2 linked regions of the Ovis aries genome follow. The protein of the gene in region 1 interacts with the protein of each later gene in a biochemical or structural test. Links are inferred from orthologs where the notes say so. Each region holds a gene or a part of one and is shown on either strand. Other genes may lie near its edges.

Evidence for each region. The genes of interacting proteins can lie anywhere in the genome.
Region 2: of the proteins of IKBKB (region 1) and NFKBIB, one has a biochemical effect on the other in vitro, tested with the Homo sapiens proteins (2 studies listed by BioGRID). The link is inferred for Ovis aries from reciprocal best matches to the Homo sapiens genes IKBKB and NFKBIB.

The regions. Positions count from the first base shown.
Region 1 is NC_056079.1:36,496,567-36,504,237, reverse strand, and holds part of IKBKB (inhibitor of nuclear factor kappa-B kinase subunit beta), read right to left. Parts: coding exon 7,627-7,671; intron 7,451-7,626; coding exon 7,389-7,450; intron 6,412-7,388; coding exon 6,302-6,411; intron 5,334-6,301; coding exon 5,284-5,333; intron 5,199-5,283; coding exon 5,099-5,198; intron 4,926-5,098; coding exon 4,778-4,925; intron 3,193-4,777; coding exon 3,065-3,192; intron 1,740-3,064; exon of another isoform or gene 1,667-1,739; intron 825-1,666; coding exon 368-824; 3' UTR 1-367.
Region 2 is NC_056067.1:47,988,386-47,996,056, forward strand, and holds the end of NFKBIB (NF-kappa-B inhibitor beta), read left to right. Parts: intron 1-3,288; coding exon 3,289-3,394; intron 3,395-3,475; coding exon 3,476-3,809; intron 3,810-4,569; coding exon 4,570-4,658; intron 4,659-4,748; coding exon 4,749-5,021; intron 5,022-5,772; coding exon 5,773-5,868; 3' UTR 5,869-5,915; downstream 5,916-7,671. Other genes in the region: CCER2 (coiled-coil domain-containing glutamate-rich protein 2), read right to left, coding at 6,251-6,340, 6,968-7,476. UniProt on the Homo sapiens protein: Inhibits NF-kappa-B by complexing with and trapping it in the cytoplasm.

The DNA of each region.
Region 1 (7,671 bases):
CCAGGTGGAACCGCCTGGCCAGACTTCCTTTCCCTCTGGCAGAAGCACATAGGCAGTGCAAGGGTCGAAACATACAGGGCCCAGAGGAGGAAGAGTACCAAGGAGGAGACACGGAAAGCCCCAAACAGCAGGATGGCACTTGAAGAAATAAGAGGTGATTACCATTGGCAGTGACCCCTCCGATCCTTCCCCAAACCGAGAAGTTTCGGCAACGCTAGTGCGGGACTGTATTGGAGGAAATGGCCATTAAAAGACCCAAGCGAACAATTAAGCATCCTCTCAGAAAGTTCAGCTTTGCCTCGATGTCTCTGCACCTGGACTCATTTTTCTTTAGATCAGCTTCCCTAGAGCTGGGCTTGCTGAGTCCCTAAGCTCCGAGTCCCTGAGAGATGGGGTGGTGACAGCTTTGTCCCTGGAGCCCAGCACCGCACCTCTCACACGCATGCCCAGCAACTGCACAGAAGGGAAGAGCGGGAGAGAGGCCTTCTCCCAGGGATGCTACCGGCCTCATAAGGACCAAGCACAGTGAGGATGAGAGGAGACAGAGCACGTAAGGTACCTGTGCTCGTTCAACAGTCGTCAGCCCTGTTATCATGATGAATATGAAGGTTGTACCAGAAAATCCCAAGTGTACACTGAGATCAAGGCGGCAGGGCGTCGCCTCTCTCTCAGCTTCTCGTTTGCTGCAGAAAAGAAAAGGTGTGGAGCAGCGGGGCTCCCCGTGGGCCATTACCCTCAAACTCTGGTCCTGCTCCTTCATGGTGTCCTGCAGGGCGTTCTCCAGCTGGGTGCACAGGGTGTGAGCTTCAGCCACCAGGTCGTCACTAAAGAAAACGACTGGATTATTAGAACGTGGTCAGTGTGAACTTTTCAAAAGAAATATATTACTATGTACAAGTATGCTAAAGGGCTTCTGGAAAGATTTTAAAAATTGAACGATTATTCTGATACTGAGTGTCTTAAAATATATGACACTGCCTCGGCAATTTTCATCTGTTCTTCTTGAGCACTGTTATGGAAGCTCAAACCCAGCCGTGAGCATCGCCATTCACAACATGAGAAAGCAGAGGTCTGGCCTAATAAAAAAGTTCAGAGCCAAAGGGATTTCTTAGGCTCTCTCTAAACTGCCACAATCTGAAAATCTCTCCCAGATCACCTGTTTCACAGTTCTTGAAACTGATAAAGGTATACAGACCGCGAGAATTCCCCAGGTGTCCTCAGCTCTCAGACTGGGAGCAGCGTGTTCTAGGAACTAATTCATCTGCTGCACTCTCGCCTTTCCTATGAGAAATGCACACGTCCCACCTTCTCTACGATAAGAAATGCACACGTCCCGAGAACAGGCCGTGGCTGAGAAAGGCGAGAGCAAAGCAAGCCATCTGTCTTGTTCTAACCTCAGCTCCAGGACGTGGGCAGACAGATGGCAACCTGAGCCCCCAGGACGCCTTTCCTAGAGCGGGGACAAACCCAACAGGAAGGGCCCCGCAGTTCCTCCTCTCACCGCAAAGGGGGCGCTAGTGGGAGGAGCAGAGCCCAGACTCATCCACTGCCTGGCCACTGCCCAGGCACCAGGCTCTGGGCTGGCCCCAGAGCCCCGGACCCGGTTACCACCCTCAAGGAGCTAACTGGAAGTTGGGGAGAGAATTAAGAATCCAACACGGAGAATTCTCTGGTGGTCCAGTGGTTAGGATTCTGCACTTTCACTGCCGAGGGCCCAGGTTCAGTCCCTGCTCAGGGAAATACATTCTGCAAGCCAAGAGGCCAAAAGAGAAATAGAAAAAAAAAAACCCACAACAATAGAGAATACAAACTCCCCAAGTACAGGAACAGGACTTCTTGAAAACAGCTTTACTGAGATATATTCACAAACCATAAAGTTCACCCGTGTAAGGTGCACGACCACACGCTTCTGGTGCACTTACAGCGTCGTGCAACCATCGCAGAGGTCTGGTCCTCGACCGTTTCATCACCCAAGGGGAAACCCTGTACCCGCTGTCAGTCACTGCTCTCCCTCAGCAACCAGGTCTCCTCTCTAGTCTGTAGACCTGCCCTTGGGAATCAGTCTTCACCGTCTCCAGCGCCTGGGGCCCAGCAAGGGAAGGCCCTGAAGAATGGGTGTGAGGCTGAGCCAGAAACAAAAAGCCGCACGGGTGTCTCGGGAACAGAGATCTGTGCGTGTGTGTCTGGGCCGTGGAGGGGGTGGGAGGCAGGGCCAGGGCGGAGGGAAGACACCCCAGGGAGGGCGTCAGCAGAGCCAAGGACCCGGGGCGCCAGGATGCAGGGGGGTCGGCCCGGCCTGGTTACCCGGGGTTGCCGATCCCGAACCTGCATGTCCAGTGAGAGCCCAGAACCCACTGATGCTGTTGGTCTGGACCGGGCTCCAAGACCCTCGGGCAGAGCCAGGAGCTGCCTGGGAGTGGGGGTGAGCCTGGAGAGGACGCTTGGAGGCTGGGAAAGGCTCAGCCTTGGCCCCGAGGCAGCTGGCTGCCATGGCTGGTCCCTGAGTATCCAGGAGAATAACTCGATCAAAACAGTCTCCCATGAAGACGGATTTGACCAGAGGGGGCCTGGGGGCAGCACTAGGCTGGAAGCAGAGAGGGAAAACCTCATGGGAAGGGCTCTGAGGCTGCACTCTCAGCTCTGCAGCAGGGGCGTGCGCAACAGGCAGGGCGGCGAGGGGTGAGCGGGGGGTGGGGGGAGGAGGGACCACAGGACGGACCGGCAATGTGTGACTGGGGCGCGGTGGCCAGAGGACACCCTCAGGGACCTGCTTCTGTGAGCAGATAGCAGGGGATGGATGAGGGGACAGCACAGGGCTGGCCAGCACTGGACGGAAGGCTCCCATCCAGCAAGAGCAACTCGGCCTCAGATAAGGACACCTGGCTGGGCAGGCCACAAGCAGTGCTGTGAGCAACACACCACATCCACGCCCACGGTGCCCGGCACGGGGGACAGATACCAAGGGGCGTGCATGGCGCCGCCACCAGGAGACCCGTGCTTCCACGCCCACGACCTCCTGACGCGCCCCGGACTTCAGCACTGGACACCGCGGATGAGGACTCACCTCTTCTCGGCAGCCTCGGGCAAGCTGTCAGGAGCCGCGCAGGGCTGCGACATCAGCTGGCTGGGGTGACTCAGGCGGGAGGCGTTCATGCTGTCCGGGCTCCCGCTGACGGGACCCCGGACCTTGCTCTAGAGGGCAAAACCAGAACGAGAGTCAGCGGTCTAGGGGCAGAGGGATGACTGAGACTCTGCTTCCGCGGCAGGGTGTTTTCTCATGAAGACACCTGGCCACGAGACACATGCTCTTCCTGCAGAAATCAGGCAACATCGCCGTCTGATGCTTTGCGTTTCAGCTTAGAAACTGCTTCTGATCTGCAGGTGTAACTTTCTGATTGAGGGTTCTAAACAGAGAGATCTGAGGGTTCTCTCTCTTTTTTTTTAATCAACCATTGGCCATTTAATTTTAAATTTTGGGGGTTCTAAATACAGAGAAATTTAAGGGTTCTATTTCTTTTTTTTTTTCATCAACCACTGGCCATTAATTTTGTGTTTTTTGGCTCTGCAGGCTCTTGATTGCAGTTACAGGCTTCTCTCGTTGTGGCAGGAGGGCTTAGTTGCCCTGTGGCATGTGGGATCTTAGTTTCCTGACCAGTGAACAAACCCTCGTCCCGTGCTGGAAGGTGGATTCTTTACCACTGGACCACCAGGGAAGGCCCTAAGGCTTCTATCTCATTAGTTGGATTGCTCAACAAACCCTTACAAGGAAACGAGAAGGAAGGTGTGTTTAATCTTCCCAAGAAGAGAAACACAAGAAGGTCCTAGGTGACTTCCCGTGACTTGCGCCACCTGGGGAGCAGAAGAGGCCGAGGTGTTTTCTGGGCTGCGGCAGCTGGCGCACCTGGAGCAGCAGGCCTCCCTAGCCCGTGGCCAAGCAGCTCTGCCATCAGCCTCCTCAGCCTCCCTGCTGCCTGCCAGCTCGATTCCAAGCTTTTCTTGGCTCTTCTCCAGTCTCTTCTGTGCTGCGGTTTCTCTCTGAGCAGCACTCAGTGGGATCACAGCCACATTGGGATGGTGGGCACTCGCAGAGCAGGCTCAGCGCTGCACGGCACAGGCCTGGCTCAGGGCCCAGCAGGCACACGGCTCAGGGGCTGCACGCAGGTCTCCAGGAACCTGGGGTGTGACCTCGTTTCGAAAAAGCACCTTTGCAGATGTAGCTAAGGATCCTGTGATGAGATCACTCTGGATTATCTGGGTGGGACCTAAACCCAGGGACAAGTGTTTTTACAAGAGACACAGTAGAGGACTTCCCTGGTGGTACAGCGGATGACAGTCTGCCTGCCTGTGCAGGGGACACGGGTTCAGCCCCTGGTCCAGGAAGACTCCACGTGCGGTAGAGCGGCTAAGCCCGCGCACCCTGGAGCCCGTGCTCCGCAACCAGAGAAGCCATCGTGATGGGAAGCCTGCGCGCCGCTGACTCGGGCGCAGCCCCTGCTCACCGCAAACTAGAGAGAGCACGGCTGCAGCCACAGAGACCCAGTGCCACCAAAAAGAAACAAACTTTAAAGAGAGGGAGAGACTAGAGAAGAGGGCCACACGGGGTCAGAGGCAGAGACTGAAGTGATGCTGCCGCAAGCCAAGGAGTGCTGGAGCCAGTGGCGTCCGAGAAGTGGCGAGGAGGGATTCTCCCCTTGAGCCTCCCGAAGGGGCCCGGCTCAGCTGATGCATGGACACCAACCCTGCCGCCTCCAGGACAGGCCCGCCGGGGCTCACTCACACACGCGATCTTCAGGAGGTTCCAGAGCTCCTTCTGCCGTTTCTCCTGCAGCCGCACCACCGTCTTCTCATCCTCGCTCATCAGGCTGACCACCTCCTCCACCTTGGGCAGCAGCTCCAGGGCCTTCTGCTTGCAGACCACGGTCTTACTGTGAAGACCAAGTGCGATGAGTTCCAGCGCGCCCAGGTCAGGGGGAGCAGGACGCGGGCCCCAGCGGGGATGACTCTGTTCGGCCACTGCAGCTGGCAGCTCCTCCAGGGCCCAGGGGAGGGGATGGGGCCTCTCCTCATTCCACCCTCCAAGGGGACAGCGGCCTGATACCTGAGCTGCGTGTAAATCACTCGCACTTTCTTCTCAAAGCCTTGGATTGCCTGGAGGAGCAGGCGCACCATTTCCTGACTGTCACCATCAGTCCGCTGGTCTGCAAAGCGGGACGGAGCCGCACGGTCTGTGGGGGGCCGGTCTGGTGCCCGGGCAGTAGGGGACCCGGGAGGCGGCCCACTCACCTCTCGGTTTCTCCCTCAGCCTGCGGTAAAGCTCCCGCGCCTGCTCTTCTCTGAAACACACAAGGCAGCGGCTCCATCAGCGCCAGAGCTACTGCCGGCAGCATCAGCAACTTCTGGAAGCTGGGCAGGCAGCACGTCCTGGCCAGAGGCAAGCACGCTCCCTGGGGATGTCACGGGCGAAACCCATGACAGAGGAAGACCCGGCTCACTGTCGAAATGCCAACTCAAAGCTCATGGTCAAGACTTCCTGAGAGTCCTCAGGACAGAAGCCTCCTCTGTCCCTCAGCATTCCCCACCCGCCTGGCCCCCGCAATTCAGAGGTGTGGGTCCTGAGTTCAGAGAACGTGGCCTCTGAAACTCAAGCCAGGAGCAGACATGCCCTCCCCAGGGCCCAAACACAGTGAGATGGACTGATGTTTCCAGGGGCTGACTTTTGTTTGAAAACCAGAGTAAGATAAAACACTGACTAACTTGACAAAATACAGGCTACAGATAATCAGATTTCAAAGACTGGAGCCTCCGGTTCTAAGAATCCTGGCAGAAGCATCAGAGGCCTAGCTGAGCCCCAGGGAGGCTCTCCTGGTGCCCTCGTCTGCTCCCGGAATGCAGGAGGGGCTGCTCTGCCCAGGGAGGGTCCCTGGAGCTGAGGCCAAAGTCCTGATCACGACTCAAATGAAGAGTCAAGGTTCCACCTTCTAAGACTTACCTGGCTCCCTCCCTTCCTACTTCCTGCTTCTCAGGGGTATGCTGGGCAGAGGGGCATCTGACCTGATGCTTTGGAGTTCACGAACCATGGCTCGGGGCGTTATCTGAACTGGTCCCCACAACTGTGAGGTCAGACAGCTCTTCTGTCTCAGGTGAGGCTCAGAGGGACGGAGGTCTGCCCGGGCTCAGCTTCCAGATGTGCCGAGAGGACCTCCCCAGGACCGGGCTGCACAGGAGGGCGCGCTCCAGAGGAACTGCGCTTGAACAGCCCGCCCGTGCGCCCGCCCGCGCGCAGGCACATGCACACACTCACAGGTCGTCCAGTGTCCCGCCCTGCTTCCGGCCCATGGGGCTGCGCTGCAGGTCCACGATGTCCGTCTGCAGGGCCATCATCCGCTCCACCAAGTGCTTCACCTCGTTCTCCTGGAGACAGAGCCACGCTGAGGCTGAGCCCCGACAGACTCGGCCAGGGACTCCTGAGCCTCACCATGGACCTTCAGCTGCCCGGCTAGAAGGGACATGGCCTCGGGAGTCTGTGGCCAGGATCTAGGCCTGCCACCCGCCAGCTCTGTGGCCCTGGGGCAGGTCACCTGGCCCCAAGCTGCAGTCTCCCCCACTGGAAACTAGGGCAAGATGCGACGGGGCCTGAGGGGACCTGGCCTGGCCCCCGTGTGGAGACGAGCCGGGGCACGCTCCCCTCTAACTTGCCCTTGATCTCAAGGGTTACGCCCACGAGGACAGAGATCGTGGGGAACGGGGGGCAGGGGTGGAGTGGTGGCTCACATCCCTGTGCCTGAACAAGGGGTCACCCACCTCGAACAAGGGGCATCAGCACCGATTTATAGAAACAGACGCTTCGACATGGAGGGGAGGCTCCCTGCCCAAGTTCACTGGGCAGATGGTGGAAAAGTCCAGGAAAAGGCCTTGGGGCCCAGGCTTCCCCCTGAGCGAGGTCCACAGGGGCACCCCGCCTCCCTGCCTGGCCTCACAATCAACACTGTTCAGCGGCATCGGATTCACAGCCCTCAGACTTGCCCCTTCGGACCCGTTCCTTCCTACGGGCTCAGTGTCCCGAGGAGGAAGTCAGGGCAACTTCTGACACAACCAAGTGCTGCTCCTTTATCCAAGGGCCCTTCTCGCGGGAAGAAGTCTGTACTCCCCAGGACGTGTCACGTCGTAAGCCTGACTCAAACCTGTGTGGCTCCCGGACTGGCCACACTGGGGACCTCTGCCTGGCACCCCCTACCTCCTTCCAGCAAGTGCTAGCTGAGAGCAGAGAGCCTGGTGAAGAAAATGTGATTTTTGACACAGAAGCTAGACCAAGCGCTCAGTGAGAAAGGGGAGAGATGGCAGGGAAGAGGGTGCCCTCGGCAGGGCTGGGAACCCAGGGAGCCTCCTACCCGTCCGCAGAGCTCCACGGCCTGCTCCATCTCCCTCCAGGCTAGCAGCAGCTTATCCGACGCTGGAGGAAAAACACGGAGGGGAAAACAAAAGTTAAAAAAAAAAAAAAGAAAATACCCCAAAACCAAGAAAATAAAAAGGCACTCCATTATAACACAAAAAAAGAAAAAAAGAAAAAAAAAACTTGAGAAAGGATTTTAACGGTCTCTCCAGATTGATTGCAAAGGACACACTCACTGATCCCAAACTCCGTCTGCTCCCTGTACTTCTCCAGGTCAATCT
Region 2 (7,671 bases), on another chromosome or scaffold:
CCCTGTGTCGATTTTTTTGGTGGATTTGAGATGGGCATGAAACCTGGTCCGTGTTACTTCTTGGGAGAGAGTAGAAGTCCTACTTAGTAAACATTGGAGACCTCCCTGGTGGTCTAGTGGTTAAGACTCCATGCTTCCACTGCAGGGGGCGAGGATTCCATCCCTGATTAGGGACCTAAGATCCCATATGCGGCCAAAAACAAAAACAGAAAAATGAAATAAAACACCAAAGAAACAAAAAGTACCAAACCAAACCAAAGCAAAACAAAAAAACACATTGATTAAATAAATTTGCTGAGTTAACTCTGACCTGACCCTCCCAGATTCCTGACGGCTGGTTCTAGAGCTGTGGGTCATCACGCTTTGCACAGTGGGTCCTCCATGTTTGCTGAAGGAATGAATGCAAGAGTGCTTGTCCTCATAAGAAGGAAAACAAACAAACAACCCCTCCACCCACCAAAGAAAAAATCCCCAGTTCAGTTCAGTTGCTCAGTCGTGTCCGACTCTTCGCAACCCTATGAATTGCACCACGCCAGGCCTCCCTGTCCATCACCAACTCCTGGAGTTCACTCAAACTCATGTCCACAGAGTTGGTGATGCCATCCAGCCATCTCATCCTCTCGACCCCTTCTCCTCCTGCTCCTAATCCCTCCCAGCATCAGGGTCTTTTCCAATGAGTCAACTCTTCGCATGAGGTGGCCAAAGCATTGGAGTTTCGGCTTTAGCATCAGTCCTTCCAATGAACACCCAGGACTGAGCCTCTTTAGGAAGGACTGGTTGGACCTCCTTGTAGTCCAAGGGACTCTTAAGAGTCTTCTCTAACACCACAATTCAAAAGCATCAATTCTTCGGCACTCAGCTTTCTTCACTGTCCAACATTCATATCCATACATGACCACTGGAAAACCATAGCCTTGACTAGACAGACCTTTGTTGGCAAAGTAATGTCTCTGCTTTTGAATATGCTATCTAGGTTGGTCATAACTTTCCTTCCAAGGACTAAAGTGAAAGTGAAGTTGTTCAGTCATGTCCGACTCTTTGTGACCCTGTGGACTGTAGCCCACCAAGCTCCTCTGTCCATGGAATTCTCAAGGAAAGAATACTGGAGCAGGTTGCCATTTCCTTCTCCAGGGGATCTTCCCGACCCAGGGATCGAACCCGGGTCTCTTGCATTGCAGGCAGACGCTTTACACTCTGAGCCACCAGGGAAGCCAATTTCCTGGCTGCAATCACCATCTGCAGTGATTTTGGAGCCCCAAAAATGAAGTCTGACACTGTTTCCCCATCTATTTCCCATGAAGTGATGGGAACAGATGCCAATATCTTAGGTTTCTGAATGTTGAGCTTTAAGCCAACATTTTCACTCTCCTCTTTCACTTTCATCAAGAGGCTTTTTTGTTCCTCTTCACTTTCTGCCATAAGGGTGGTGTCATCTGCATATCTGAGGTTATTGATATTTCTCCCGGCAATCTTGATTCCAGCTTGTGCTTCTTCCAGCCCAGCGTTTCTCATGATGTACTCTGCATACAAGTTAAATACGCAGGGTGACAGTACACAGTCTTGATGTACTCCTTTTCCTATTTGGAACCAGTCTGTTGTTCCATGTCCAATTCTAACTGTTGCTTCCTGACCTGCATATAGGTTTCTCAAGAGACAGGTCAGGTGGTCTGGTATTCCCATCTCTTTCAGAATTTTCCACAGTTTATTGTGATCCACATAGTCAAAGGCTTTGGCATAGTCAATAAAGCAGAAATAGATGTTTTTCTGGAACTCTCTTGCTTTTTCGATGATCCAGCAGATGTTGGCAATTTGATCTCTGGTTCCTCTGCCTTTTCTAAAACCAGCTTGAACATCTGGAAGTTCACGGTTCACATATTGCTGAAGCCTGGCTTGGAGAATTTTGAGCATTACTTTACTAGCGTGTGAGATGAGTGCAATTGTGCGGTAGTTTGAGCATTCTTTGGCATTGCCTTTCTTTGGGATTGGAATGAAAACTGACCTTTTCCAGTCCTGTGGCCACTGCTGAGTTTTCCAAACTTGCTGGCATATTGAGTGCAGCACTTTCACAGCATCCTCTTTCAGGATTTGAAAGAGCTCAACTGGATTTCCATCACCTCCACTAGCTTTGTTCATAGTGATTCTTTCTAAGGCCCACTTGACTTCACGTTCCAGGATGTCTGGCTCTCGGTGAATGATCACACCATCGTGATTATCTTGGTTGTGAAGATCTTTTTGTACAGTTCTTCTGTGTATTCTTGCCACCTCTTCTTAATATCTTCTGCTTCTGTTAGGTCCATACCATTTCTGTCCTTTATCAAGCCCATCTTTGCATGAAATGTTCCCTTGGTATCTCTAATTTTCTTGAAGAGATCTCTAGTCTTTCCCATTTTGTTGTTTTCCTCTATTTCTTTGCATTGATTGCTGAAGAAGGCTTTCTTGTCTCTCCTTGCTATTCTTTGGAACTCTGCATTCAGATGCTTATATCTTTCCTTTTCTCCTTTGCTTTTTGCCTCTCCTTTTCACAGCTATTTGTAAGGCCTCCTCAGACAGCCATTTTGCTTTTTTGCATTTCTTTTCCATATGGGTGGTCTTGATCCCTGTCTTCTGTACAATGTCACAAACCTCCGTCCATAGTTCATCAGGCACTCTATCTATCAGATCTAGTCCCTTAAATCTATTTCTCATTTCCACTGTATAATCATAAGGGATTTGATTTAGGTCATACCTGAATGGTCTACTGGTTTTCCCTACTTTCTTCAATTTAAGTCTGAATTTGGCAGTAAGGAGTTCATGATCTGAGCCACAGTCAGCTCCCAGTCTTGTTTTTGCTGACTGTATAGAGCTTCTCTATCTTTGGCCTCAGAGAATATAATCAATCTGATTTCGGTGTTGACCATCTGCTGATGTCCATGTGTAGAGTCTTCACTTGTGTTGTTGGAAGAGGGTGTTCGCTATGACCAGTGTGTTCTCTTGGCAAAACTCTGTTAGCCTTTGCCCTGCTTCATTCCGCATTCCAAGGCCAAATTTTCCTGTTACTCCAAGTTTTTCTTGACTTCCTGCGTTTGCATTCCAGTCCCCTATAATGAAAAAGACATCTTTTTTGGGTGTTAGTGCAGAAGGTCTTGTAGGTCTTCATAGAACCATTCAACTTCAGCTTCTTCAGCGTTACTGGTTGGAGCATAGGCTTGGATTACCATGGTATTGAATGGTTAGCCTTGGAAATGAAAGCAAGCAAACCATAAAAAGAATACTTGACCTCTGCCTTCTGACCCTGGTCCTTGTTCTCAGGGCACTGCACTTGGCGGTGATTCATCAGCATGAGCCCTTCCTGGACTTCCTCCTAGGCTTTGCAGCTGGTACCGAGTACCTGGACCTGCAGAATGACTTGGGCCAGGTGAGCCGCCTGTGGACAGCGTAGGGCTTGGGGGCCAGGATTCTCAGTATGGCCCCTCACCCCTACCTTCTGCTCCTGCAGACGGCCCTGCACCTGGCAGCCATCCTGGAGGAGGCGTCCGCGGTAGAGAAGCTGTATGCAGCAGGTGCCAATTTGCTGGTGGCGGAGCGTGGAGGCCACACGGCGCTGCACCTGTCCTGCCGCGTGGGGGCCCACGCCTGCGCTCGCGTGCTGCTCCAGCCTCGCCCCCAGCACTCCAGGGGAGCCCCCAAGACCTACCTCGCTCAGGGCTCTGACCATACCCCTGACACCGACCACACCCCTATTGCCCTGTACTCTGAACCTGACGTGGAGAAAGAAGAGGATGAGAGTGAAGAGGACTGGAAACTGCAGCTGGAGGCTGAAAACTATGAGGGTGAGGGTCCCCAGTCACCGTGAAGGGCCCAGGCTCCCAAGAAGAGCGGGGACAGCTGGCTCTGGGCTCAGCTCTCCTGATGCAGAGCTTGGCTCCTTGGGAAATAATCCCAGGAATAATAATAATACTCAAGGGACCCAGGCATCAGAACCAAGGATGCCTGCTCAGCGCCAGGTTGTTGAGAACCATAGGCCCCAGCCCACCTGGGACAAGGGAACTCAAAAGCCAGGCCCTCTGAAACTCTGGCGACTCAGGTTCCCAGAGGCTGATAGTGGGATTCAGGGACAGCTGTCCTCAGCCAGACCTCATGGGAAAATAGATTCTGTCTACCCAGGGCCCTCCCCCATCTCTAAGCCCAACTATTCAGTACTTGGGACCAGACCCCCACCACAGGTGGAAGGTCAGGATCCAGGGTTCAAGGACCACCTCAACCCCCCAAGGACATGGACCCAGGAATTTTGGAACCTGGTTCTTTGTGAAGTAAGACCAGAGACTCAGGTCCCCTGTCCAAAGCTCCTGGGCTCTTCACCCCTAGGCCCCAGACAACCCCACAACCCAGGCGTTGGTACTGCCAGCAAGTTCCAGATCACCTGAGACTTAAGGGATTTGGAATACAGGGCCTCTTTGATGTACCCAGGAATGCAGAAGTCAGACCCCAAAGTCCATCAACCTCAGGTTACAAAGCCCTGCCCAAAGATGGTGGCATTGGGGGCCCAGTGCCCTCCCCTCCATCATCTGACATCGGTCACTCTGTCCCTAGGCCACACCCCACTCCACGTGGCTGTCATCCACAAAGATGCAGAGATGGTCCGACTGCTCCAGGAGGCAGGAGCTGACCTCAACAAGCCCGTGAGCCACCCTACGGAGAAGGTGTGGCAGGGTGGGGGCTCATCCCCGCGTTGGGCAGGGCCCCAGTGACCTCTCTGCTGCACCCCTTAGGAGCCCACCTGCGGCCGAAGCCCCCTGCACTTGGCCGTGGAGGCCCAAGCAGCTGATGTACTGGAGCTTCTCCTGAAGGCCGGTGCTGACCCCGCTGTCCGCATGTATGGTGGCCGCACCCCACTCGGCAGTGCCACGCTTCGGCCCAACGCCATCCTTGCCCGCCTCCTCCGTGCTCACGGAGCCCCAGAGCCCGAGGACGAGGACAAGCCTGGCCCCTGCAGCAGCAGCAGCAGCAGCAGCAGCAGCGACAGCGAGAGCGGGGATGAGGGCGTGAGTCAGGAGAGAGTGGGTGGCCCAGCTGGGAGGTCAGGGTGAAAGCGGGCAGGTGGAAGGGGGAGAGGAGACACTAGGCAGCTCACTGAGAGCCACTGACGTCGGGGCTGCTCTGATTAGAGAACTCAGGCAGCCGTGCCGGTGGTATCAGGGGAGACCTGGACAGGGGTGGTGGGGAGAGCTCGGGCACCGGCAGGTGAGAAGTGAAGGCAGTGGCAGAGGCAGAACTCAGGCAGAGAGAGAGATAAGACCTCAGTCATAGTGGTTGGTAAACGCAGGCAGCAGAGGATGGCCGCAGGAGGTTTTTTTTCAGGGAGCAAGAGCGGGAGAACGCAGGCTGCGGGAAGGTGACCTTGGGCAGCAGTGATTCGAACACTGGCAGCGGTGGGGAACGACCTCAGCCAGCGGTGAAGGGGCTTCCTTGGAGAACCCAGGCAGCGAGACATGACTGTGGACAGGGGTTGTCACTGACTGGCAGGGGTTGAGGAATTTGGATAAAGGCAGGAGGAAGTGGGGCAGAGGGGGAGACCTCCCTGTGGCGGCTGAAGGACTGGAGAGGCCGCAGGGCCGGGAGAACACAGGTGACCTTGGAAGAGGTGGTGAGAGAACTAGGAGCTGGGATTTAGACTTAGGAGCGGGGACCTCGGGCTTCGACGCAGCACCGGGTTCCCACAGTGGGTGGGGGAGCTTGGGCAGCGGGCGAGGTGGCAGCTGCCTGAGCCCCTCTGCCCGGCCCCTCTGCCCCCAGGATGAATACGACGACATCGTAGTCCACAGTGGCCGGAGCCCCAGCCAGCTACCTCCCACCCCAGCGTCAAAACCGCTCCCTGACGACCCCATCTGACTTAGCTGTTAATAGTTTCCAATTTAATAAAATGTCAGTTCCGACAACCAGTGACTAGATAAGCGGTTGCCTTGCCAGGCCTCCAGGTCGTTCCTGAGCCCGTCCCTCTGAAATCAAGTGCGACGCCATCAGCCTTGGTGGTTTTCTCTGTGCTTTATTCACTCGGGGTCGGGGGTTGGAGCGGGTTAGGGCATCCGGGCTGTGTCCTGAGTCAGGCGGAGCCCAGCCCCTCCACCCAGCTCAGACTTGGCCCCTGAGGCCTGGTTTCAAGGCACACCCTTCTCCCCACTCCTGCCGGTTGGGGAGCAGGGTGGGGTGACAGGTTGGGGTCAACGGTACTAAGCCGTATAGGGTGTGTGGGGGAGGAGGACGTGCGGTCGGGTCAGCCCCCCCTCCTGAGCTCCTCTCGCAGCACCTCCGTCGCCTTCTTCAGCTCATCGCTCATGTGCTCCAGCCGCTCCACGTCGTGCCCCTGGCGGCAACAGAAGCGGGGTCTCAGCACCCACCTTCAAAGGCAGGCCACCTCAGTGGCTGTCCACAGATGTGGGCCAGGTCAGTTCACACAGTGGCAACCGCAGCGGTCTCCCCGGTCGTCGTGGACTACGACAGTGACCCTGGAAGAGTCACGTGGGCTAACATGGCCAGCGGTGAGGCCTACATTGTCTGCCATAGCCAGTGGGGCGGACAGAGGACTAGCAAAGGCGCTCAGCTTGCACGCCGTGACCCGCCTGTGAGGTGAGGGCCGTTTCTGTCACTGCTGTTGATCATGTGACAGCTCTGCTTTCCACGACGCGCCAGTGGTGTGCGCCTAGGCCCAGTGAACTGGGCAAGGCTGCTGCTTTTCGTGGGGCCAACACACTGGTCACAGACTAGCGATGGTAGCTAACTCTGGCGCTTCTGGGCAATAAGGGGGGCCTCTTGGCTGCTGAACGGGAAGCAGGCATGGAAGCCCTCCTGGTCGGGGGAAGGCCCCGCCTGGATGTTGCTGCCTGCTCCCTGTGTCAGCCCATTCGTGGTGGATGTTGCTGTTGGAGGCTACCTGGTAGGATGTCCACTGACATCTGGTCTACCCTGCTCCCCCATTGCCGCCTCCACTCACCTCCCGGTCTGAAGCCTCTTCCTTCTCTTCCTGCTGGGGCTCGGCTTCTGGCTGGCGGGAGTGGTGGCGGTCCTCGTGTCTCTCTCCGCCCGCCTTGACCCCCTGCCACAGGCTGCGGCCCTCACCCAGCACCTGCACTCCCTTCTCCTCTGCCTCGAACTGGGCTGTCTCCTCATCGCTGGCCTGCTCTGCCATGCGCTTCTGGGGGTCCCTGCCGCCCTCCAGATGCTTCTTCCACAGGCCCTCCAAGGTCTCCATGGGCCCCCCCTTCTTTTCTTCCTCTTCCTCCTCTTCATGGTCCTCCTGGTGGAGCCGGCTGTGGAGCTGCTCACGGACGGCCTGTTCCCGCACCTCAGACTTGTGGGTCCTTTCTGCTGCCTCCTCCTCTTCCTCGTCCCTCACCTCCTGGCTGGACCTCGTCTTCCCAGCCTCTGGCTTTTTAAAATCCCCAACCAGTAGGCCGTTCTCTTCAGTGGACCGACAGCCATAGGGCTCTGTCTCATACATTTCTGATGGAAAGAGGGGATGTTCTCTCCGCAGCTAATCAGGAGACAGACCTAGACGAGTTCTGCGGGGTGGGGGTGCCCGAGGTCCCCCAGGTGACAGCCCAGACCTGGGAGAGGAGGCTCAGTACTGGGAGACACTCTGTCCCCATCCTGTACCCTTGCAGGGAGCCCTAAGGGTGGGGCTGTGGGCCAGGCTCC